Arabidopsis thaliana: one gene and its partners. The protein of the gene in region 4 interacts with the protein of the main gene of each other region in a pairwise test. Each region holds a gene or a part of one and is shown on either strand. Other genes may lie near its edges.

Region 1 (7,640 bases), on a different chromosome or scaffold from region 4:
GTGGCCAACTATGTGGATGGATTGCAAAAAAGATGTGATTTACTTTACCAGACATTACAATAAACCACCAAGATTTGTGCTTCAATGGATGGTGAAGGATCCTAATAACCCCTTTAAATATAAAACATTATAAACTGTTAGACACGTTTTTTCAGAATTAACTAATAGTAATGTAAGTTGATTTTGTGTTTCATGTCATTATGAAGTAAGTCATTAGAGCTAGGACACTGTTCTAATTTCGTGTTGAACGTCTCATAACTACATATAGTTTAATGCTTTTAAAGTAGTCCTCAACAATTATCATAGACTGTTTAAACCAAACCGACCGAACCAATAATTTTAGTTTTTGGTTTCAATTTGGTTCAAAGTTATAAACCACTCAGTGAAATTCTAAATTGATTTTTGTTCTCGGTTATATGGTTTAGCACATCAAAACTGAACAATTTTTTTGTTCAGTTTAGAAAAAACCATATAAAAAAAATCCTAGATTTCTAATCATCATTTCACCTTCCTTATTTTCTAATCTCTTGTCTTCAGCTTGAGATCCTCCTTCTTCGTTCTTTTCTTATCTTTTTATTCACCATTGTTTTTTTTGAATCTTTTTATTCGGTGTTATGATATTTTTAGCGAAAACCCTAAAATTTGACGAGTTTGAGTTTGTTATATAACTTGGACTTTGATTGTATTGGAATTACCCAATTATTTTATTGATTTACTGTTGACTTTAGCCTATTATTCAAACCAAATTATAAAAAGTCTGTTATTTTATAATTGATTTTAAATCTTATAACCAAACCTAAAAATCAAGTTCCAAAAACAAAACCAAATCAAAATTTTATTCGGTTTAATTTGGGCAGAATTTTAAAAAATCGAAAAAACGAAAAACCAAAACAATTGAACCAATTAAACTGATTAAATTGAATGCCTATTGTTACTTTAAACAATAATACAATATCATATTAAGATCAATGAGACTTTGACCATCTTCATATTCACTTTCAAAAGATTTTCTTCACTCATCTTCATTTTCAACTACTAAATAAAGATTTTCTCTTATTTTATTTTCCTCTATACTTAGAAATCTCTATTTTTAGTTTACATTAACATTTAGAATTCTCCATTTTAAAGGTTGGAGAAAAACCCAACTCCAAAATAGAGTTATTCTAATTTGAAAGAAAATTGAACATATTTAAGAGCATCTTCAACTCATGTTTTTTTTTTTTTAATTTTGAACTTGGATTTCCCACCAATCCATTTCTCTGTTTCTTTTAATTCTATAACGAATATTTTAAATATATATTATATTTAGTTATTAATTTTTGTTATGAGCCTCTATTTATTATTATTATAACTTCAACCCAACTATTTTAATTTAAAAGATAAGAAACAAATTACCATATTTATTTTTAATCTGATCATTTATTGTATAAAAATTACATTACACAATATTAATAAAGAATTTAAAACATAGAAAATATGTCTTCATTCTCCATTTACTTCTAGAAAACAAAACTTTCATCAAACACGACAACGCTTCAAAAAATCACCTCATTTTTATTTCTAAAATAATATTGACATAAATTTGATTTATATGAAAAACCAAAATATACCAAATCTGAATAAATTAATATCCTCTTTACTAAATATGCCAAAGTCAAAGATATTTTTACTTTATAAACCTCTCCTATTATGCAAAAAACCAAATTTTATTTCTTACAATTCAGCAAAATTAAAATTCCTTGCCTAAAAATTAAAAATCATCAAATTTGAAATTACTTTTAAAATTATTACTCACGTGATAATAATAATATTAAAGCTGAAGAAAGGCAAAATTCAGAAAAAATCGTTTTTTTTTTTTTTTGCCAGGCTTCTCTCACTCTCCTTCGCCGCGGAATCGTCTCTCGGAGCCGCGAAAGGACTCTTAGGGTTAAAGATTCTTCCCCAAATCTCCTTCTCTCTTCCTCAGCTGATTTCGACTCCGATCAATTTTCTAGGTTTCGATTCATCTCCGTTACTAATTTCGTCTTTTATACCGTTTTGTTCGTTTTTCTAGGGTTTAAGATCGATTCTTCTGTTTTTTTTCTGTCACCGGAAGAGCTTAGAACTTTTCTGGTGATTTGATTGAATTTGATGAATATGGTTTGCTATTTATTAAGAGTTTTCGAAGTTGAGATTCCGTAGCGTGTTTATTGATTATGATCACATCTTTACCTGTTTTCTTTTCCGTTTCTTGTGGAGTTGGAGTAGTTAAAGACATGATTCTCCTCTTGATTTTGATATAAAGTGTCCATCTTTACGAATTTTCAGAGATTTAGTCAAGAATTTCGTCTTAGGCAAAAGCTATATTGCGGTTTCATTGTTTCTCCTGAAGTCGTAGTCTTAAGATTTCTACATGATTTGAACGAGTTTTATTGGCGTGGTGAAATTTTCTTAGTGCCGTCCATGAAAGTTTGCTTCTTTAGGGTTTTGTATGAAATATTTCTTCTATAGACTCGAAAAAGTGTTGAGTTTTGTCTCAGTGCTTGATGATCAAAGGTTGTTTTTGCATGCAGCTGATATAGCTAAATATAAGCTGATACTTTTATTGGTTCCAGGTGTTTGAAGGCATTTGAAAGGATGGGAGACAATGGCAAAGATGAAATTATGGTCGAGGCATCTCAATGCGCTGGTGCTATGGTTGAGATAAAGATAAAGACGTTGGATTCTCAAACGTACACCTTACGTGTAGATAAATGTGTATGAAAAACGAGCCATAGTGGTTTAGATTTCTTATGATGTTTCATTTTCTGTTTCCATGAACTGAGACTAGTACCTGTAAGGTCTGTCTTTCTTCGTATGCATGTGTTGCATAATGAAGTTTCTAATTACTAAAATCAATCCTTTGACTAAAATTGTGGAACTAATGCCTTATTTCAATACTCACTTGTTTATTTGTGTCCTAAATAGCCTTTCTTATATTTGCTTTCTGTTTTCTTGTTTTATCTCAGGTCCCTGTTCCCGCATTGAAGGAGCAAGTTGCCTCCGTTACTGGTGTCGTTACGGAACAACAACGCTTGATATGTCGTGGAAAAGTTATGAAGGATGATCAACTCCTATCAGCCTATCGTATCCTTTTTGTTCTTTCCAGCATATTGCCCCAGTTCTTTCTTAGAGTTTTCCTTTTCAGTTGTGATTTGTGAACCCTAGTTTGCTGATGTAGCCCTTGGTTTTGAATTCCTTGTTTACAATTCCAGTGTCGTATGGTAGACTTTTCCTTTTACCGGTAAAATTCCTTAATGGTTCCATCTTAGATGTTGAAGATGGCCACACTCTGCATTTGGTAGTCAGACAACCTGTATCAGAGAGTTCAACTAGTAATGCAGGTAGTTTCAAGTTCCCGTACAAATTTGTGGCCCCAAATACTGTTACTGAACATCTTTGAATTTCTATAATCATGATAGTTTAGCATTTACCAATGCTTTTTGTGAGACTCTATTTCAACATGCTGAGTGGAAATATTGTTTTTATAGCGGCTGATCCTGCTTTGAGTGCTGGTGACAGCCAGGGCAGTCAACGATCACGAGTTGTAGTAGGATCCTTCAACATTGCTGAACAAGCTGATGGAGTCTATTCAGATCTTGGACAGGTATACCCTCTTTTATCTGTTTGATCTGTTTTTATTTTTGTGTGTTGGATTAGATGTGATCCTTTTCCTTTTTTTTGACAATCAAAAATATGTGCGATCCTTTTCATGAGCTTTGTTTTATGTCTGGTAGATAGTTTCAGCTGTTCTGGGTTCACTTGGGATCTCTAATCCAGAAGGTGGTATTGAAGGGATCGATGATATGGTAATTGTCATATAATTTGCTGCATATTTGTATAAATCGTTTTTGGATGTAAGAGAGTTCCCTTTATTTGTCAGGGTCCTCTTCATGAGAGGCTGTCTCGGAGTTCTGGTCCTGGCACTGCAAGAGATTCTTCCGGAGGGCGATCTGCCACACCAAATGCTGTGGACCAGACGTCTACTCCCTTGGCATCTTCACAACCAGCAGTACGAGCTCCCTTGTTTCCATGATTACTCATTTTACATAATTTTTATAAGGTACATCATACGCTAACTTTTTACTACTGCAGGCGATTCCAGATTCGTTGACAACCTTATCTGAATATCTGAATCATCTCAGACAAGAGTTTGCTGCTAATGGTTAGACTAATTTTTAAATGTTTGGTTGTGTGTCCAAAAACAAGTCTCGAGAGTCTGACTGTGGGACTGTAATTTTTGCAGGTAGCAATGCTAATAACTTGCAAGATTCTGAAAATTCAGTGGGCAATGTGCAAGATTCTGCTTCTACTACTGGAGAGAGTCGGATTCCAAGACCATCTCATTTGGCAGAAGTGCTGCAATCAACAAGGCAATTGTTGATCGGTGAAGTAGCAGATTGCTTATCTGTATGCTCTTTTACTTTTATCTCATACATTCCTTTTGAGAAAGCCATTTGTGTCTTTGCTTATTTTGACAGTCTTGACCAATGCGGAAATTATTACATCAATTTATGGGACTCAGATAAACTCTTAACAGAACCTCCTAGCCCTGTAGACTTATTGTTTCCGACTTTTAGTACCCTGGGAACAACTGTATCTTCTTCGTGAATGTTGCAATGTTAGAATATTGAAGTTAGTAAGGCTAGTTCAACATTAGTGACATGCAGGGTTTTTGCTATCTTTTAACTGACTGACTTGAGCTGGCATTAGTTAATCAAATCCAGGGAAACAAAGAATAACCGTTTCGTATCTCTCTTTTGCAGAATCTTTCGAGGCAGCTCGTGGATCATGTAAATGTGACCGATCCGCCAACCCGAAGGTTGTGCCAGTCAAACATGCTTCAATCAGGATCCCTCTTGGAGAGTTTAGGCATTTCACTCCTGGAGCTTGGCCGTGCCACCATGATGCTTCGTTTGGGACAAACACCTGTGCGTATTCTTTTGCTACATATTGTGGATCTAAATCTTGCAATTTTTATTATTGATGCATTAGTTTGCATATGATTTTGTTCACAGAATATGATACACCCATACATCTATATGACACTTGTTATGTTACATGTCAGGATGATGCTGTTGTTGATGCTGGACCTGCAGTGTTCATATCCCCTACAGGGCGAAATCCCTTGCCGGTCTATCTATTTGTTACTTTCTTTCACCATTACCAGTGTGTCCACTTGTCCTGCTCACCTTACCTTTGTGTTACCTTTAACTTTTGTAGTCACACTCCTCTCGGCTGGGCACGAGTATTGGAAGCTTACAAGCAGGAACCGCACATTCTAACCCCTTTGCGGGACAATCACTTGCCTCTGCCCCAAGAAATATTGAGATAAGAATACGTACAGGTAAGAATACGTACAGGTGCTATTCATATCCGTAATTTCGAAGTATTAACTGTTCTTTCCTGCTATATATTGAAAAACTTCATATTAAGTTCCTTTTTTTAATCTTATATCTGGATTCATCTTGGTGATGTGTTATATTAGGATCTTGGGTGCCCGCCAGTGGGACCAACCAGAGAGAGGAAAGTACTACACAACAAACCCCTGGGCAGACAATCCCTTCTACACCCAGCAGCACTACTGATCCTGCCCCCTCAACGAGAGGTCCATCTGAACCTCTTCGAAATCCTGTGGCCTTAGTTATACCTGTTGTTGCTCGATATCAGCAGATATCTCTTGGTGGACGTAGCTCTACTGGATTGGATGGTGTACATCAGCCTGTTACTGAATCTTCTAGGCAGCCACAGAGCGTCGGTACTCCAGGAAGAGAAGGTTAGTTCTAATATAACTTCCCTACACTATTGTACTGATTTATTTGTTGAATTGTCGATAAGAGAAAACTTCACGTCTGTTACCTTTTATTACTGGGTTGTCTCATATTATGTTTGATTTGATGTTTCCCTTGGTTGTTTTGGCTTCAATCTTCTTAGACCTGGTAGATGATGTGTTACCTAAACGCAGGATATGTCATAAATCTTTGCTTCTATGAAATATGTAGGTGATAGCAGTGCTTCTCCTGGCGGTCGGGGTTTGTCTGAATTGAGAAACAGAATCCATCAGTTTTTGAGGCCCTTATCTCGTCGAGAAAACCAAGCCGGGAGCACGGAGTCTCAGGGTGCAGCAAATCCCTCTGCCACAGCGTCCACAGAAACAAACGAAGCAGTTGCAAATGCACAAGTAGAGCCAGCAACTACGACAGATGAAGGGAATTTCATATCGAGTGTTCTTCAGCAGATCATGCCGTTTATATCTCAAAACGTAGCCTCCTCAAGCTCAGGTGAAGCTGCTACAGGCAGAGGCAGCAATAGTAGACAAGCCTCTTCGAGAGAGGCAGAGGTACCATTGTTTTCACCTTTTAACATGTTACTTATTTAGTTATTTCCTTAGAAGCCTTATGCAACATGCTAACTTGTCATTTACTTGTGGTGAATTCGTGTTGGAGTAATTAGATAGTGAAAGAGATTTTATTATCGTAGAGCTTTGGTTGTGTATAGAATAATACAGATGGGTAGGAGTAAAAGTGGTAAACCTTATCAAATCCGGTGCTTAGGGGTTAGTAAAATCTGATAAATGGTAACTGGTGAGAATATACAAATGTGTTAATGAGTGTCGGTTGCGGATAAATTCGAGGTGCAGGAGGAGGAAGGTACAGAGCGAGGGAATTCAACTCGGAGACCTGAACCACCATCACCTCCAGAGTCAAAACGTCAGAGGGTAAATATGAAGATCCATTTGGTTTATGATTCATTTGGTTTGTGTTTCATTTGGTTTGTGTTTACTTAAACATGTGATGATGTTTATGCAGAGAGAGTGAGAGATTGTTGGAGCAAAAGCGAAGAGTGGAGAAGCACACTTTTTGAAGAACGATAGTCTTTTTTTTTTTTTCTTTTCACTTGTGGTAATTTATTCTGAGCTTTTGATTGTTCGTTCAAATGGTATTGGTGGTGTTAGCCAAAAGATCTCCATTTTTTTCTTTTTTTATCTCCACTGCCAACATTTTCAGAGTTTGTACTCGAATAATAAACATAAGTGCATATACATAGATTAGTACTGAATTATATAGGGGAGGCTAAAGCATGAGAGTCAAAAGTGAAGTTTGGTAGCCAAATAATAGACTTTGTGTTTAAGGACCACAAGGACAAGTTTCTCCAATGGAACACTTAAGCTTAATGTTTACAATAAATGTGGTCGAGGTTAACTCTTCGGTGGACAAAAAAATTGGTTTTGAGCATTTTTAACTTGCAGGTTAATTTGTCATTCTAACAGAGCTCCGAGCAACATTCCTACGAAAGCAAAAACCACAACTTTGCGACAAATACCCTGAAACGGAAACAAGGATATTATTACCTTTGGTAAATAGTAAGATCTCAGTTGTTTTGATGACTTTTTGTTTGTGTATTTTCAAGATCTTGTAATTCCCTCAACGTATTGCAATTTTAGAGCATGAACCTTGTATTATATACCAAACCAAAATAATATTGGTTGGCACTCTTATAGAACCGAACTAAACCGAAAAACTTAAGAAACCCGAAATGTTTTAACTTTTAGTAAAAATAGTAAAATTTCATCAAACAGGGAACAAAATTAAAGAGAGTAAAAGCAATTTAGAACTTATAAA
Region 2 (3,978 bases), on a different chromosome or scaffold from region 4:
TTTCTCTTTATAAAACTATATAATCTCTATAGAATAAATTATAATAATTTGACCCGCGGGTGAATACGATGATCTGATGACCTATAAGGTAGTCCGGTTCGCTATCTGGATCGGGTTAACATTGACCCTATATAAACCAAGCATCCACCAACAAACTTAGTTGACTAAAGAGTCTCTGGACCTAGAGGTCAAGAGTCCAATTTTCGTTTGGGAGATGGTCACATTACATCTTTTGGTCTCTCTAGCATCAGGGAGTGTACGAAATTAGGTTTACAACCTCTTTGATCATTTAAAAAACTTTTAGACAACAATAGATTTAGAGGCTACTTACATTTGTTTCTAAAGAATTTCCAATTTTGATGATCCTAATGGAAAAAAGGTTTGAAGGTTAGGGACTTACGGTTTACAAACTAAGAAACAAAATGGTTTGTAAATTTTATTGATACATATAACTACTATATTTTTCATGTAAAATAACAATAACGTTGGCGATGTTGCAAAATCGTTTTCGTTGGTCAATTCTCTTACTGGTATTTTAAACGCGGCCAAATTTTAGGGCATTGCTTTAAGATAAACAACAACTAACAAAAATTTACAGAATAAAATCAGATGCCCAAAAAAGAGAGCAAAATATGAGTTCATACTTCACATAACACTAAAAGGCTTAACCAAACAAACAAGGGAAATAAGCAAAATGATGTCCTAAAGAACGCAACCAGAATCAAGTCATAATGTAACTTCACTGTAGAAATCATAAATCTTGTTTCTTTTTGTGGGCTTAAGATAAAATTCTCTCACTTAGCCATCATGACTTTGACGAATTCTTCATAGTTAATCTGACCATCGCCATCAACATCCGCTTCTCGGATCATCTCATCAACTTCCTCATCGGATAGCTTCTCACCGAGATTTGTCATGACATGTCGAAGCTCTGCTGCAGATATGAAACCATTCTGGTCTTTATCAAAAACCCTAAAAGCTTCCTTGAGCTCTTCCTCTGAATCAGTGTCCTTCATTTTCCTTGCCATCAGGTTCAGGAACTCCGGGAAATCAATGGTCCCGTTCCCATCTGCATCAACTTCATTGATCATGTCTTGAAGCTCAGCTTCTGTTGGGTTTTGCCCCAGAGACCTCATCACGGTTCCGAGCTCCTTGGTGGTGATACAACCTGCAACCAGATTCAGGTATAATAAGCTTTTAGAGACAGACTTATATCCACAGTCAACAAACAAAAGCCATTGTATTTCTTATTTCGACTGATGAAGATCTGGTAAGTAAAAAAGAGAATGATTTTTTTTCATTCAACAAAGTCCTACTAAGTTAACAAAGAAACTCCATTCATACAAACTAAAAATAATCACTCTTCCAAGTCCTACCTAAAGTGTTAGGGTAAAAGAAATATTCTGTGTTTATTCCGTCTTTCCTTATGTGTGTGTACTAGCAAATCTAGAATCATGTGTATTAAAAAGACACAATATTCTTCTCCAAATCTCTTTACATGGTATCAAAGCCAGAATCAAAACCCTAGCCACTTCGTTCTATTGAACCCACATCTCACCGTGCAAAGGCCAATAATGCACAACAGAATTTTGCAAGTTTTTCACCAATCAAAGCAGAATACATTCCTGATATCTACAACATCAATCCTTTTTTCAACAATTAAACTACTCAAAATCTCAACATATGGATAAATTTCCCAAAACATTTCATTGCTGCATCACGAGACTGAACCAGAACAAGAACAAAACACAGCGTGAGTCATGAATCGCTATCGAATTAGCCAAAAGCTAGATCGTTCACAAGTGAAACAAACACGAATCATACAGAAAACTGAAGAAGATCATAAATCTGTCAAACAAATTCCAGAACTCGTATACGGACGGAGTAATCATCGGGGAAAAAACGCAAAGATCTGGGAAAGAAACATACCATCACCATCCTTATCGAAGAGGCTAAAGGCTTCCTTGAACTCTGAGATCTGGTCATCGGTGAGCTGATCCGCCATTTTCCTTCTTACCTTTTTTTAGAAATCCCAGATTTTTTTTTTGCTACTGAATATATTATTTGCCTCTCTAATAATAATTCAGCAAGAGAGCTTATAAAAGAGAGAGAGCCCAACAACTTATGGTTGGGCCTCTAAAGATTTACTAGCTAATTCAGTAATTCTTATGATTTTTTTGTCTTTTTAGTTTAGTTTTTTAAGACAATTATAAAGAAAACTATAACCTTTGCAGTTAATTTAGACATATATACTAGGTAATAAATCTATCAAATTAACAATTATTAATTTTTTTTGACTATTTTCAAAACTGATTTAGTAGAATATTTTACAGTATATCAATTAAACTTTTGACATTATTTTTTTCATTTAAATATTTAATTATAAAAAGTTTTTAAACTAGGATAGATATTTAAGGATATTAATTAATTTGGAAAATTAAAAAAAAACTTATAATATGTTGAAAAAAATAATATATGGATACATATGAAATGATTAGAGTATCCTCTAAATTTACGTTACAGAAACGGATATGTATAAGCAAAAATTTTACATGAATACACTTTTTTGTAGAAATAGTTAAACTTGAATCGATTTTACATGTTTTGTTTTAATTTAAATGGATACTTAATAAAAAAGTTAGTCAATATCTCTACATTTTTTCCAAGTAAACTGTTTTTAAATTTTTTTAGTTTTTATATTAAAAACAAAAAGAGTGTTCGATCATTTATATGAGTCTTATTATTCCACACCTCTAGAATATATATGTACTCGCTACAAATGAGTCTAATGAGCTTTTGCCGTTGATGATTTGTTCAATGTTCTAATAATTGTCATCAGTCTATAACCATTGACACTACACAAAACGGTTGCAATGTATGACTTTTGTTGAACTTTGTAGTGACTAGTAAGTAAGTGAGAGTGAAGAAGCAACGGTTTTTCTTTCTTACAAAAAACTCATATATACTTCAGAGTTAAGACTTAAAAATATATAATAGTGGATAAAATCAGTTACAACTATTTTTTTTTTTAAATGGTCTGTAACAAAAACATAAGAATTCATCGATTACTTAGAAACAACTCAAATGAGAAAGAAAAAAAAACACCTATTGATTAGGTCCATATCTAGTCAAAATCTGAATACTCAAATATTTTGTCATTACATTAATTAACCCAAAATAATTGACCAAAAAAGGCAAAAAACATAATTTTATTTCTTAAGAAAATTGAGGAGCTTAACAAAGGAAAGAAACGTATAATTGTCCCATACGAAAAAAAAAAATTAAAAAACAAGTGTCCATTAAAGTGAGAGAGTCCCTACACGAAATTAAATAAGTTTTTGTCTGTTAGCTACAAATTTCTCTACAATCATCGTATCTCTTTCGTCGCATCTCTATCTCTTGTTGCTCCTTGTATTAGCCCATCATTTTTTTATTTCTCCTGCGAATTCTCCGCCATAGATTTTCTTTTGAATTTCTCCTGCTAACTCTTGAGCTCCCCAAAGGCGGCTACATCGGTTTTGTCACCTCTACTCGCTCACTTTTCTCCGTCCAATTTTGCAGGTTTGTTGGTCGATTCTCCATGTTTTTGCTTCGAATTCGATGAGTAATTCGGTAACTTAGAGAGTTGCTTACGCTTTTGGTTTATGTGTAAAGTGTGCATAATCTCTATATTATATGATGGTGATGATGATTAGTTCTGTAGCTAACTCGAGAATCTCGCTTCAATTGTGTATCAGTACAAATATTGGTTTAGTGGAGAATTTTGGATTTGTAGATGCTTGCTTGAACAATATATGATTTATCTAAGTCATGATTCTAGAGATTTAGGCTGTTTTTGGAGTAATTAAAAAGGATGATCGGAATTTCCGGAGAAAATCTCCGCTGCTAGATTTGTCATTGCCTTGTGGATTTTCAGCTGTTTTTACGCTTTGTCTTTATTGAATTCTGTGGCATATTACTGTTCTTTTCTTGACGGTT
Region 3 (4,550 bases), about 15 Mb from region 4:
TACATTGTACATAACATATCTACCATCATATGTCAAGATCCCTCCATCTTCCCTTTTCTCCATCTCTTCTTTGGAAGAAGAACTCGGATCAAGACAGGTTTTAAGATTAAAAAAGGAAGCAAGTTTTAAAAGACTGTTTCTCAAGTAGCTGTTGTTGCCGTTAAAAAGGCAAAGCAGTGAGTAAGAGGAGAGAAAATGGTGGCACCTTTTGCTTTTGGTGGGCCAAATGAAGACAAACTTTTTTATTTGATCCGTTGAACTTCGAAATTTGAATGAGAATTATTATTACAAGGTTAAAACTTGACTTCTGCATCATTAAAGAAAAATTCAAAAGAAACAAAAGAGAAGTATACTATAGAAAAAGCTATCTCATTGTGGATCAATAGGTCCCTAGGAACCAATAGTAAGTAAAAAGCAAAGTGGTAAACATACAAAAGCGAGATTATTCTCAAGTCTCATTTCAATGTCAAAACTCTCTCTTGTGTGCTAAGTAAACAGAACCTGTGTGAAAGTAAAACACCTCTGAACTCATTTTCACTATCTCACAAACCTGCATTATCGATCCAATTCTCCCATCTTATATCTTCTTACATATTAAGGATCAGAGAAGGTGATCAAACCTGATAATTATGTAGATGTAGCTGAAGCTAAGATATAAGGCTCAGGAACCACAAAAACATATCACTGAATATTTCAAATTAGCTTCAGCATTTTATGAGTCAAAATACTAAGAAACAATGCAAATTCTCTCATGAAAAGGCTCTCACATTGCTTTTGCATTCTCCGCAATTATGATCCAAACCTTAACCAAAAACAACTACCCTATAAGAGTATAAGACCATGTCTGCAGAAATCAGTAGTAACACAAGAATTTCATGAGATATTAAAGAAGAAGAAAAGTAGGCCACACAATAGAATTGAGGAATCAAGAAAACAGATACATACACTTGGGAAGGACCAGCACAGCAGACGTCTGTTACTACTAACTAACTCAGACTTGTCATTGAACTATATTATATACGGCTCACTTGTTTTGCTGCAGTAACTGGCTTATCTTCTTTTCTGGCTTGCGTTAATAACATGAGTAGAGAGAAAACACGACTTCCGTCGAGTAGATTCCTATCAAACAACACCGGTTCTCGAATCTTTCGACAAGCCAAGCAAAAGTAGGTGGGCATGAAAATTTGTTCCCCATGAAACAGAGGACATTCGTTGTTACCTATTCTAATAACCGATTCAAAATTCCGAATCGCAGACTTAATAAATGTGGACAATTAACCAAACCGTGCATTGCTAGGTCTAAACCGCATTGGTTTATGACCCACCAATCAAGGAGCGATGGGTGAGAAACCTAATAACACTGCTGCTGTGACTTTATCATATCCTTAGTCCAATTGGGATCTTCGTCTGCGTGAGACGCGTTCACACCTGCGACAGATGAAATCACGGAAATACCACTGCCCAACGTGTTCGCAATAAAAGTCCTCTGATGCCTAATTTCGTCAATTTACTGAAGAAAATTCAACATCAACGCCCTTTTTGATAATTTCCCCAAAGTTAGTGGGCCCTCCACACGAAGCATGTATCCTCCAATTGCATATTGCCAATTATTTCCTAATAATATTGAAGGATTATTCTTTTCCCATCTATATACCACCAACCCTAAGATCCGAACGTCCATTTTAAAGCCGTGCGTTTAATCATGATCGTCAATTATATTGGCAAATTTGACCACACGATATCCGTCATCTAACGGCATCTACAGATCTACCAGAACGTTCTCATTCATGACTCTATATATTTCGCATTTCTTCTCCTCAACGCTCTCATAAAAAGTAGTACTCGTGTCTTACTCGTGCCAGCCACTCGCATTTCTCCAGATTTTATTATCCTTCCTCGAAACAAGGTATGACGGAAACTCTCTCTCTCCCTCTCTGATCCGTCGTTGCTGCTTCCATTTTCATCTTGACTCGATCGGATCATTGTTATGCTTGGCTTGATCTGTGCTTAATGATGTGTTTTTCGTAGTAGATCCACGATTCGTTGCTGCGATCGGCGTTATTATCGTCAGCTCTCTCGTTTCTGTTCTGTGGTTCGATATTGCTGAGTTTCTAGGCTAATCTTACGAATCTGTGAAAGTTTTTGAGAGATTTGGCTTCTGTAGCTCACTCCTGCTTGATTTAGGTTTTTTTTTTTTCCACTCGTATGAAGCTGTTTTAGAGGCTGTTGTTGTTTATGATTCTCAGCTTGTTATGTATAGTTGGATTTCGTGAGTTTTGGATTTGATCTGTGCGTTTATTTAGTAGTGAGGCTCATGTATATATATCTGTGTATTTGTTCCAGAGCTTAGCTAAGATGACGAAGAACTACCCAACCGTGAGCGAAGATTACAAGAAGGCTGTTGAGAAGTGCAGGAGGAAGCTCAGAGGTTTGATCGCTGAGAAGAACTGTGCACCCATCATGGTCCGACTCGCGTAAGTAACTAACCATATTTGCTTGTGGTTTTGAAGTATGTAGGATTATGAACTTTCTCATGGCTGATCTGTCTGGCTAAACTGCAGATGGCACTCTGCTGGAACTTTCGATTGTCAATCAAGGACTGGAGGTCCATTCGGAACAATGAGGTTTGACGCTGAGCAAGCTCATGGAGCCAACAGTGGTATCCACATTGCTCTTAGGTTGTTGGACCCCATCAGGGAGCAATTCCCTACCATCTCTTTTGCTGATTTCCATCAGGTACATGGTTTTAAATTTTAAAAAGCACTATTTGGTTAACGGTGATAACTGTAAGGTTTGGATTCTAACTCTAGATATCCTTGTGGTGTGAAATTGATCATTCAGCTTGCTGGTGTTGTGGCCGTTGAAGTTACTGGTGGCCCTGACATTCCTTTCCACCCTGGAAGAGAGGTTAGTCATTGCTGTAGATTTGTTTGCCGTCTCTAAGGTTATCATATACTCAATTTGGTCGAGAGAACGTGTTCTGCTTTCTTTGTAGAGATGGCTGATTGATAATTGTGGGACTTGATTTTCTGTTTCTAAAATGCATATCTTGATTTCAGGACAAGCCCCAACCACCTCCAGAGGGTCGTCTTCCTGATGCTACCAAGGGTTGTGACCATTTGAGAGATGTCTTTGCTAAGCAGATGGGCTTATCTGACAAAGACATTGTCGCTTTATCTGGTGCCCACACTCTGGTTCGTTTCTCTCCAACTGCTTAAAACTTTAAAATTTGTTTGCTCCAAGCTTACAAATTCTGATGAGTGCTAGCAAAATATGATATCGCAGGGACGATGCCACAAGGATAGGTCTGGCTTCGAAGGTGCATGGACATCAAACCCTCTAATCTTCGACAACTCTTACTTCAAGTGAGTATCCCAAGTTCCCTTGTAGGAGGATTCAGTGGCTTATATGGTTACTAATCAAATTATATATGGGCAGGGAACTCTTGAGCGGAGAGAAGGAAGGCCTTCTTCAGCTTGTCTCTGACAAAGCACTATTGGACGACCCTGTTTTCCGTCCTTTGGTCGAGAAATACGCTGCTGTATGTCTTTCATTCCCTTTTTTCTGTTTTTCACTTGGTAGAGAGAGAGAGAAGAGAACTCATGGTTTCTTGTGACAATGTGAACAGGATGAAGATGCCTTTTTCGCTGATTACGCTGAGGCCCACATGAAGCTTTCTGAGCTTGGGTACTTATCCTGAATCTATGAATCATTTAGAAAGTAAATATTAATTCAGTGGTGTGATTTGAGTTTGTATCTGTTGGTTGCAGGTTTGCTGATGCTTAAGCTGTGACGTATGCTCTGTGTGTGTGTGTGTGTCTCCCCGAGAGTCATGGCTGTTTTTGGTTGGGGGCTGGAGGGGTCGCATTGCATTTGAACTTTGTCATATGATTGCTTAATGTACTCTCGGATTTACGTATCTGTTTTTTTCGGTGGGTTGCGATTTGAACACATCCGTTGCGCTTTTGCTGCTTAGACACATTAATAAAATTAATTTCTCTCGATATTTATGCCTCAAATCCATTCATATCTGCTTAGTCTCTAATAACAGTAGAACTTGGATTAAGAGTTTGAAGATACAGTGGCTAATTGCCTATATAAAGTGATAAACAGCCAAATCTTTAATCAGAAGTAGAAGTATTAGTATAACATGATTTGACTATGTACTACGAGATCAATGGTAAACCTGACATTGTTCCAAAACCAATCTAGACCAGTTCACTTACCGAATTTTAGTTCCATACCCATAAACCAATCCAAAGTGATTCTATCACCACATGCAACAGCATGTAATGATGTGGTGCCCGAATAGGCGGATTCCATCGATGTTGATCAGACGATGCTTTAGATCAAAGACCGGCGTGAGCTGAGACGGATGGCTCTGGCTTATAATGTCACCACTATGATTACCAAAGTGTTTGCTGCTTTGATCACGGCCGAGGGAGTAAAGAGCTTGAAGTCAAGTGTTATTCAAATGATTGTCATTCAGCACTCCTTTTCTAGGTGAAGGATCTTGCCTATGCGCTTCTCTAAAACCGTTTTTTTTTCTA
Region 4 (7,998 bases):
TCACTATCCAAATTCCAAACCATACGCTAATGGCTTCCAAAGGAAAACTAAGACTTTATGGAGTTTTACATAAAGTCTTCGTTCAAACATCATTTTCATAAGTCTTTTGTAACTTTCTTCCTCTTAACGGCTTCCTACAATATCTCGATTTAGAACTCCAATCAACATCTAATATTTTGTCTACAACTTTATGTTTTTTCACCTTACTATATGATCTAGACAATCTTTTGTTAGGTAAAGTGTCTAGATATTCTTTCACCTAATTAACACGGAAACGTAAACTTGTACAAAAACATCTATTGATTATAGAAGAGAACCGAGCCGTGAGAGTCGTTTCTCGTCAAGACCGCACCAATCGACTCAAACATGAGCCAAACTGTACGTAGTTCTTATAAGGAACACAAACCTCCATCGTAAACCAACGTTTTCGATCGGTTCTAGCTAGACTCGCCATGCATGCATGTGCGTTGGTGCCCGTAATTACGTACACCAATCTTGATTGATATCAATGCTTATATGCCGTTAATCTTCATCTCGACTCTCGAGGTAGTAGTACTTGACGAGTTCTAAGTTCTTCTTCCGTTATGAGAAATCATATATAAGTTCTTCTATACATCTCGCTTGATTATTATAATCTTTCGCCTTTTAATTTCTCGTTTGATTATTATAATTAATGTTTATAATGAAAAGAATCATTATTTCCCAAAGCAAACGAATCATTTTGAGATAGACTTACAGTTATCACAAAAAGAAATCTAAACGTTTTCCCCAAGATTTAGCCTTTCGTCAGCATGTAATTACTCGTGACATATTCTCTAGCTCATATTTCTTCTTCACGCACGAGCAACCAATTTTGTTATATATGTATAAATCATCTTTGACAATTATATATAATACAGATTTGTTACGAGTATATGAATTTTTTTGAGGTACAGAAGCAAATCAACTAGTGAAACTAAATTAAAGAGCTAACCATCAAATAAAGTAAATTGAATTAAACAAACAAATCATACCACGTGATGACAGCCACCACATTCCTAAAGTTAGAAAATTGGCAAACCTGTAAAAAAGCATCACTTCCCCGAAATCGCAGGTCATATTTCTATGAAAACGAAAGAGAGTTATCTATATAGTAAATGGCTATATTCATATTTGCCCCACCACCCATGACCCATCTCAGTTAATAAATAGTTCTTCTATTCACCTCTATACTATAATCATTCACTTTATCTTATATATAGTCTATAAAACTAAACGTAATTCGCATGATTTTGCCTTTCGTTGCATGAAAAATCCTCCTTGACAATGTACAATTCGTTAGTACTACTCGATCAGTCGCCTTGACTCACGACATTTTCTCTAGCCACTGTTTTATCTTCACACACAAGTACCAATTTTAAACTGTTGTACTTAACTGTATAACATCCTTTATACGTAACGTAAGCCAAAAATTATGATCTAATCAGTTACTACAGATTAATAATAAGATTAATAACGGCCGGTCTACTAATTTTGAACACTTGTGCATGCATTATCTCTCGTTGAAATAGTAAATTAATGCAACTAACTTTACAAGATTAATCGAGGTATATTATAGTCTAAAACAAATATTTAAATTAATGCAACTAACTCTTGAAGATTAATCGAGGTAACGCATCACACTAATCATATTTAATCGGATAATACATATACTGTTAGTAAAATAAATTAAAAAAGATTTGGTAGATAAACGACAAAAATGTTTTTCGTCTTGTTGTTTTCGAGAAGCTTCTTTTTCCGGATTAAAAAAACATTATGCAATTCCACGTCATCAGCGCATTACAAACAATGAAAGACTACACACGACCTTGGGTCAGCATTCCAAAGACCCAACCCTGACTCGCCACGTCGACATATGCCAGCTATTAATGAAGAGGGTAATTCCGTAACTTACTCTAACCACAGAACCCTTGAATTTAAAGTGTAGCAGTAAAATCTCATTTCTTTGAGTTATCTCGTTTGTTCGGAGTTAGAGAGAGAGAGAAAGATATAGAGAGAACACAGAGAGGCGAGAGCGACGTAGGGTTGGTGTTTCGTACGGATTTTCTCGGTCAATCTTAGTTTCTCCGGCGAGAGATTGCTTTTCAGGTAAAAATGGCGGCGGTTTTGGTGTTTGTTCTTCACTTAATCTGTGTTCGATCTGCGTATGAACTCGATTTTTCCACTCGATTGGGTGGATCCGCTTCGTTTTGGTGTTATGGTTCACTGATAGTGTTGTATGTTTAGTTGATCTTTGCGATTTCGGATCTATTAGCTTCGTAGCTGTTTTGGTGTGTGTGTTCGTCTTCGAAGATATTTAGGTTTTTTTTTTTTGTTGCTTCAAATTTCTTACTGTTTCGTGCTTGTTTTCTTACTTCGTTTTCTGTTTAGGTCTTTGATTGTTTCTTACTAGGTTTTCTATGTTTGCTTTGGGCTGTTGAATTTGGTTTTCTATCTCTCTAGCTAATCACTGGTTTTCGTGCTTCTGAGTCGTTTGTTTTTGAAGCTAGTTAGGGTTTTCTTCTGTTGCTTCTATATTTCGATAGTTTTGTGCTTGTTTTCAATGTTTGCTTCTTATTTTCAAGGATAATTTTAAAATGACCCACTGTTTTTGGGTGGTTGTGTTATTTTCACAGGAATCATCATGGTGAGAAAGAGAAGAACGGATGCTCCATCTGAAGGAGGTGAAGGCTCTGGGTCTCGTGAAGCTGGTCCAGTCTCAGGTGGTGGACGTGGTTCACAGCGAGGTGGTTTCCAGCAGGGAGGAGGACAACACCAAGGTGGAAGGGGTTATACTCCTCAACCTCAACAGGGAGGTCGTGGTGGTCGTGGATATGGGCAACCACCACAACAGCAACAACAGTATGGAGGACCACAAGAGTACCAAGGAAGAGGAAGAGGAGGACCTCCTCATCAAGGAGGTCGAGGAGGGTATGGCGGTGGCCGTGGAGGTGGACCTTCTTCTGGACCACCGCAGAGACAATCAGTTCCCGAGCTGCATCAAGCTACCTCACCTACTTATCAAGCGGTGTCTTCTCAGCCTACACTGTCTGAGGTGAGTCCTACCCAGGTACCAGAACCTACTGTTCTGGCTCAGCAATTTGAACAACTCTCTGTTGAACAAGGAGCTCCCAGTCAGGCAATCCAGCCTATACCTTCTTCTAGCAAGGCTTTCAAGTTTCCAATGAGGCCTGGTAAAGGACAGAGTGGAAAGCGTTGCATTGTGAAGGCTAACCATTTCTTTGCTGAACTGCCTGATAAGGATTTGCACCATTATGATGTGAGTTTTGTGTTCCCTTAGTATTAGCTACCATACATCTAATGTCTATTTATAAATTTACCTGACCAACTGTGTTCTTTCTGTTAGGTTACCATTACTCCGGAAGTTACATCAAGGGGTGTCAATCGTGCTGTGATGAAACAACTTGTTGATAATTATCGTGATTCTCACCTTGGAAGTCGTCTTCCAGCGTATGATGGTCGAAAAAGTCTTTACACTGCTGGTCCACTTCCCTTTAACTCCAAGGAGTTCAGAATCAATCTTCTTGACGAAGAAGTAGGGGCTGGAGGTCAAAGGTCTAGTTCTTATGGTTTCTTGTTGATTTTTTTAATAAGGAAGTTTCAGAATAATAACATCTTTCCTATTTTACAGACGAGAAAGGGAATTTAAAGTTGTGATCAAGCTAGTTGCACGTGCTGATCTGCATCACCTAGGAATGTTTTTGGAGGGGAAACAATCAGATGCCCCACAGGAAGCTCTGCAGGTTCTTGACATTGTTCTTCGTGAGCTGCCGACCTCTAGGTACTGGTTACTCATCCTATGGATGTTTGCTTCTTTACTACCATGCTTGTAAGTCTCAGCTGGTTTAGTTTTGCTAACATGTTAGAATCAGGTATATTCCGGTGGGCCGGTCCTTTTATTCCCCTGATATAGGAAAAAAACAATCATTGGGGGATGGCTTGGAGAGCTGGCGTGGATTCTACCAAAGCATTCGTCCTACACAGATGGGCTTATCACTCAATATTGGTGTGATGGCTTGCTGTATTACATTCAATAATTTTTGATATCTGGTTCTCCTTGAATGTTTAACTCATGGTTGTGCTGCAATTTTGTCTGTTTTGTAGATATGTCATCGACAGCCTTCATAGAGGCAAACCCTGTGATTCAGTTTGTCTGTGATTTGCTTAACCGGGATATTTCTTCTCGACCTTTATCTGATGCTGATCGTGTTAAGGTATGAATCAATTGTCATTTTCTGTAGTAAGTGAAATGTTGTATTAATCTACTCTTCTTTGCTTAGTGACTTGGAATCTTCTTCTGTCAACAGATAAAAAAGGCTCTTAGAGGTGTCAAAGTTGAAGTGACTCATCGAGGAAACATGCGCCGGAAGTACCGCATTTCCGGTTTGACTGCTGTGGCCACTCGGGAATTGACGTGCGTATTTGTTTTAGATTTACTACTCTTATTTCGCGAATGTTGAACTTGATGAAATTAATTTTTACTCTCTGTTTTTATCCTTTTCAGATTCCCAGTAGATGAAAGAAATACTCAGAAATCTGTTGTAGAATACTTCCACGAAACATATGGTTTTCGCATTCAGCACACTCAACTACCATGCTTGCAAGTTGGGAATTCTAATAGGCCTAATTACTTACCAATGGAGGTAACTTTGAAATACGTCATCAGGTTTTATTAGCTCACCAGTACTTCCGATTCTAATGTGTTGCTGCACAGGTATGCAAGATTGTTGAAGGCCAGCGGTATTCCAAAAGATTGAATGAGAGACAGATCACTGCTTTGCTGAAGGTTACCTGTCAGCGCCCGATAGATCGAGAAAAAGATATCTTACAGGTATGTTTCTTTATTTTCGATAACTTTGTTTTCCTTCACTTGAATCAAGAGTATCTTTTTGTCCGCCTATCTTGATAGTCGTTTTAAATAATGTATGCTGGTGATAAAGCCTCATTGTGGAATAGATCATTGTAAAATCTGTTTATTCTTACTTGGTTGCATGTGTTTACTTGAAGTAAGTGATTTTCTCAATTCATATCTAACTTGTTTTTAATCATATAAACTTGTGGCTGAAAGGATGTTATGGAATGAATGGCTTAAAAACCTGTTTCTTCTTTACTTGGATGCATATGTTTGCTTGAAGAGAGTGATTTACCTTGAGATGATGCCTTTACTTCATAAATAGTGAGGCAGATTACCATCTTCAGAGTTGTGCTCTTAATTTAGCAGCGCGTGTGTCTTCTGGCTGCTGTTGTTGAAAACTCAATTGTTTATTGCTAACATTATACAATATTTTCTGATTTCTAGACGGTGCAACTCAATGATTATGCTAAAGATAATTATGCTCAAGAGTTTGGCATCAAAATAAGTACTTCTCTGGCTTCTGTTGAGGCTCGTATACTGCCTCCTCCATGGGTATAGTAATCGTTCCCATTGTCTCTTTGCTATTACACTTTTTCTCTGTATCTTAATGACTCAAATTAGGGTTCCAATCTGATTTTAATGTTCTGCAGCTTAAGTACCACGAGTCTGGAAGGGAAGGGACTTGTCTGCCACAAGTTGGTCAATGGAACATGATGAATAAGGTAACTAGACGAAAATGTTCCTGGTTTTCAACTATGCACTTACATGTTTCTTGCTTGTGTTACCTATATATACCTATGCTGTCATTTTTATGTGAATATTTTGTAAATCATGGCTGAGCTGTATATTTCCAGGTAATTGGCAAGAAAATTGTTTATTTATTTGTCTGTTATGAGACATATTACTCTAAAATGCTATTCTCTTGATATGAGTATGGGTGTGGCACTTGACTAGTTGCAGAGAGTATTTTGTTCATGTAGCTATGTAGATACACACTGAATTTGTCTTTGTTATTTTTTGAAAGTGATCACAACGTTTTCTGTTGTCTGGCTAATATGAGTCTTCTCTGCAGAAAATGATCAATGGTGGAACGGTGAATAATTGGATCTGCATCAACTTTTCTAGGCAAGTGCAGGACAATCTAGCGCGTACATTTTGTCAGGAACTTGCTCAAATGTGTTACGTATCTGGCATGGTGAGTCTTTGGAAGCACAAACTTGATCAGTTTATTAACCTTTCCTACACTGATTCCTTCCCTTTAATTTTTTATTTCTTACCTGCAGGCATTTAATCCGGAACCAGTCCTCCCACCAGTCAGTGCTCGCCCTGAGCAAGTAGAGAAGGTCTTGAAGACTAGATATCATGATGCCACATCAAAACTCTCCCAAGGAAAAGAAATTGATCTGCTTATTGTCATTCTGCCCGATAATAATGGATCATTATACGGTATGAGCCATGGTCTCGGATGTTTCATTGTCTACTTCTGCTTAGGAACACACTCTCAACTTATTTTCCTTAATAATATCCATTGCAGGTGATTTGAAACGCATATGTGAGACTGAACTCGGCATAGTCTCTCAATGTTGCCTGACAAAGCATGTCTTTAAGATGAGCAAACAATACATGGCTAATGTTGCGCTGAAGATTAATGTGAAGGTTGGAGGAAGAAACACAGTGCTTGTTGATGCTCTATCTAGGCGGATTCCTCTAGTCAGTGATCGACCCACCATTATATTTGGTGCTGATGTTACCCACCCTCACCCTGGAGAGGATTCAAGCCCATCTATTGCTGCTGTAAGTTAGCTTCTCCTTTAAGATCTACTTCTGTATATGGATGCTTTTGTTTATTTTCATGGCCTTAACCTTTTCAAATTGTGCTTGTTTTGTTGACAACGAAATTTTTGTTTTCAGGTTGTGGCATCTCAGGATTGGCCTGAAATCACTAAATATGCTGGATTAGTTTGCGCTCAAGCGCATAGGCAGGAGCTCATTCAGGATCTGTTCAAAGAGTGGAAGGATCCTCAGAAAGGTGTGGTGACTGGTGGCATGATAAAGTACGTGTGGATGTTATTTAATATTTTCGTGATTGGGTTTTAGCTTTAGCTTGCTCTTAAGTAACAGATCTGTACGTTTCTCCCCTTACTTTTGAACAGGGAGTTGCTCATAGCCTTCCGTAGATCAACTGGGCATAAACCACTAAGGATCATCTTCTACAGGTATTAACTCTTCTTATGGCACTTACTTGACTAAATAACTTTCTGTCTTTCTTTCTGAAATGTATTATATGGTTATTCTGCACAGGGATGGAGTCAGTGAGGGACAATTTTACCAAGTTTTGCTCTATGAACTTGATGCCATCCGCAAGGTAACAGTTACTTCTAACAAATGGCTTGTGTTGCGTGCTCGTTTTCTTCTGTTTAATCTGATTATTATTTCAACTCATTTCAGGCCTGTGCTTCGCTGGAAGCAGGTTATCAACCACCAGTGACATTTGTGGTGGTGCAGAAGCGTCATCACACGAGGCTGTTTGCTCAGAACCACAATGATCGCCATTCGGTGGACAGAAGTGGGAATATTTTACCTGGTGAGACAAGTTTGGATCTTTGTCAAGCTTTTTGTGCGTAGACCTAATCAGCTGAAAATCCCTTGCATTGGTTTTTAACCCCTTTGTTAATTGTAGGCACTGTTGTGGACTCTAAAATCTGCCACCCTACAGAGTTTGACTTTTACCTCTGTAGTCATGCTGGTATTCAGGTATAATTTACAATCTCAAATGAGTTTGTGGGTGAGAATTTATTTGAAGTGTTTAACAAATCAAAACTCCATTAACAGGGCACTTCTCGACCTGCTCATTACCACGTTCTTTGGGATGAGAACAACTTTACTGCAGATGGACTTCAATCTCTGACCAATAACTTATGTTACACGTAAGATTTCTTACCTTTGTAACATATTCCTTGTTACAAGTGTTTGCAAGATTGCAAGGAAAATAAGAGTAACATTTAAACTACCTTTTTGATTTGTACAGGTATGCAAGATGCACACGCTCAGTTTCAATTGGTAAGTTTTGTGTTTCCCATCCCTTAATGTCATCTTGATTTTGA

Evidence for each region.
Region 1: the proteins of AGO1 (region 4) and AT5G25270 interact in a two-hybrid assay, tested with the Arabidopsis thaliana proteins (one study listed by BioGRID).
Region 2: the proteins of AGO1 (region 4) and CAM6 interact in a two-hybrid assay, tested with the Arabidopsis thaliana proteins (one study listed by BioGRID).
Region 3: the proteins of AGO1 (region 4) and APX1 interact in a two-hybrid assay, tested with the Arabidopsis thaliana proteins (one study listed by BioGRID).

What each region holds. Positions count from the first base shown.
Region 1 is NC_003076.8:8,756,979-8,764,618, reverse strand, and holds AT5G25270 (Ubiquitin-like superfamily protein), read left to right. Parts: upstream 1-1,613; 5' UTR 1,614-1,994; intron 1,995-2,594; 5' UTR 2,595-2,616; coding exon 2,617-2,736; intron 2,737-2,987; coding exon 2,988-3,105; intron 3,106-3,290; coding exon 3,291-3,362; intron 3,363-3,509; coding exon 3,510-3,625; intron 3,626-3,755; coding exon 3,756-3,827; intron 3,828-3,901; coding exon 3,902-4,030; intron 4,031-4,113; coding exon 4,114-4,183; intron 4,184-4,264; coding exon 4,265-4,428; intron 4,429-4,784; coding exon 4,785-4,949; intron 4,950-5,086; coding exon 5,087-5,152; intron 5,153-5,241; coding exon 5,242-5,365; intron 5,366-5,506; coding exon 5,507-5,794; intron 5,795-6,020; coding exon 6,021-6,358; intron 6,359-6,658; coding exon 6,659-6,736; intron 6,737-6,827; coding exon 6,828-6,836; 3' UTR 6,837-7,185; downstream 7,186-7,640.
Region 2 is NC_003076.8:7,213,946-7,217,923, forward strand, and holds CAM6 (calmodulin 6), read right to left. Parts: upstream 2,108-3,978; 5' UTR 2,006-2,107; coding exon 1,930-2,005; intron 1,169-1,929; coding exon 795-1,168; 3' UTR 529-794; downstream 1-528. UniProt on the Arabidopsis thaliana protein: Calmodulin mediates the control of a large number of enzymes, ion channels and other proteins by Ca(2+). Among the enzymes to be stimulated by the calmodulin-Ca(2+) complex are a number of protein kinases and phosphatases.
Region 3 is NC_003070.9:2,435,650-2,440,199, forward strand, and holds APX1 (ascorbate peroxidase 1), read left to right. Parts: upstream 1-1,631; 5' UTR 1,632-1,906; exon of another isoform or gene 1,907-2,343; 5' UTR 2,344-2,355; coding exon 2,356-2,474; intron 2,475-2,561; coding exon 2,562-2,736; intron 2,737-2,841; coding exon 2,842-2,907; intron 2,908-3,059; coding exon 3,060-3,194; intron 3,195-3,285; coding exon 3,286-3,365; intron 3,366-3,438; coding exon 3,439-3,541; intron 3,542-3,628; coding exon 3,629-3,687; coding exon of another isoform or gene 3,688-3,700; exon of another isoform or gene 3,701-3,770; coding exon 3,771-3,786; 3' UTR 3,787-4,016; downstream 4,017-4,550. Other genes in the region: ATMPK13 (Protein kinase superfamily protein), read right to left, coding at 1-63; AT1G07885 (uncharacterized protein), read right to left, coding at 1,014-1,178.
Region 4 is NC_003070.9:17,886,557-17,894,554, reverse strand, and holds the start of AGO1 (Stabilizer of iron transporter SufD / Polynucleotidyl transferase), read left to right. Parts: upstream 1-1,958; 5' UTR 1,959-2,127; intron 2,128-2,654; 5' UTR 2,655-2,662; coding exon 2,663-3,298; intron 3,299-3,385; coding exon 3,386-3,594; intron 3,595-3,670; coding exon 3,671-3,820; intron 3,821-3,905; coding exon 3,906-4,045; intron 4,046-4,143; coding exon 4,144-4,253; intron 4,254-4,346; coding exon 4,347-4,453; intron 4,454-4,543; coding exon 4,544-4,682; intron 4,683-4,753; coding exon 4,754-4,870; intron 4,871-5,338; coding exon 5,339-5,446; intron 5,447-5,544; coding exon 5,545-5,616; intron 5,617-5,966; coding exon 5,967-6,089; intron 6,090-6,177; coding exon 6,178-6,340; intron 6,341-6,428; coding exon 6,429-6,688; intron 6,689-6,805; coding exon 6,806-6,948; intron 6,949-7,047; coding exon 7,048-7,110; intron 7,111-7,195; coding exon 7,196-7,259; intron 7,260-7,342; coding exon 7,343-7,478; intron 7,479-7,574; coding exon 7,575-7,648; intron 7,649-7,726; and 4 more.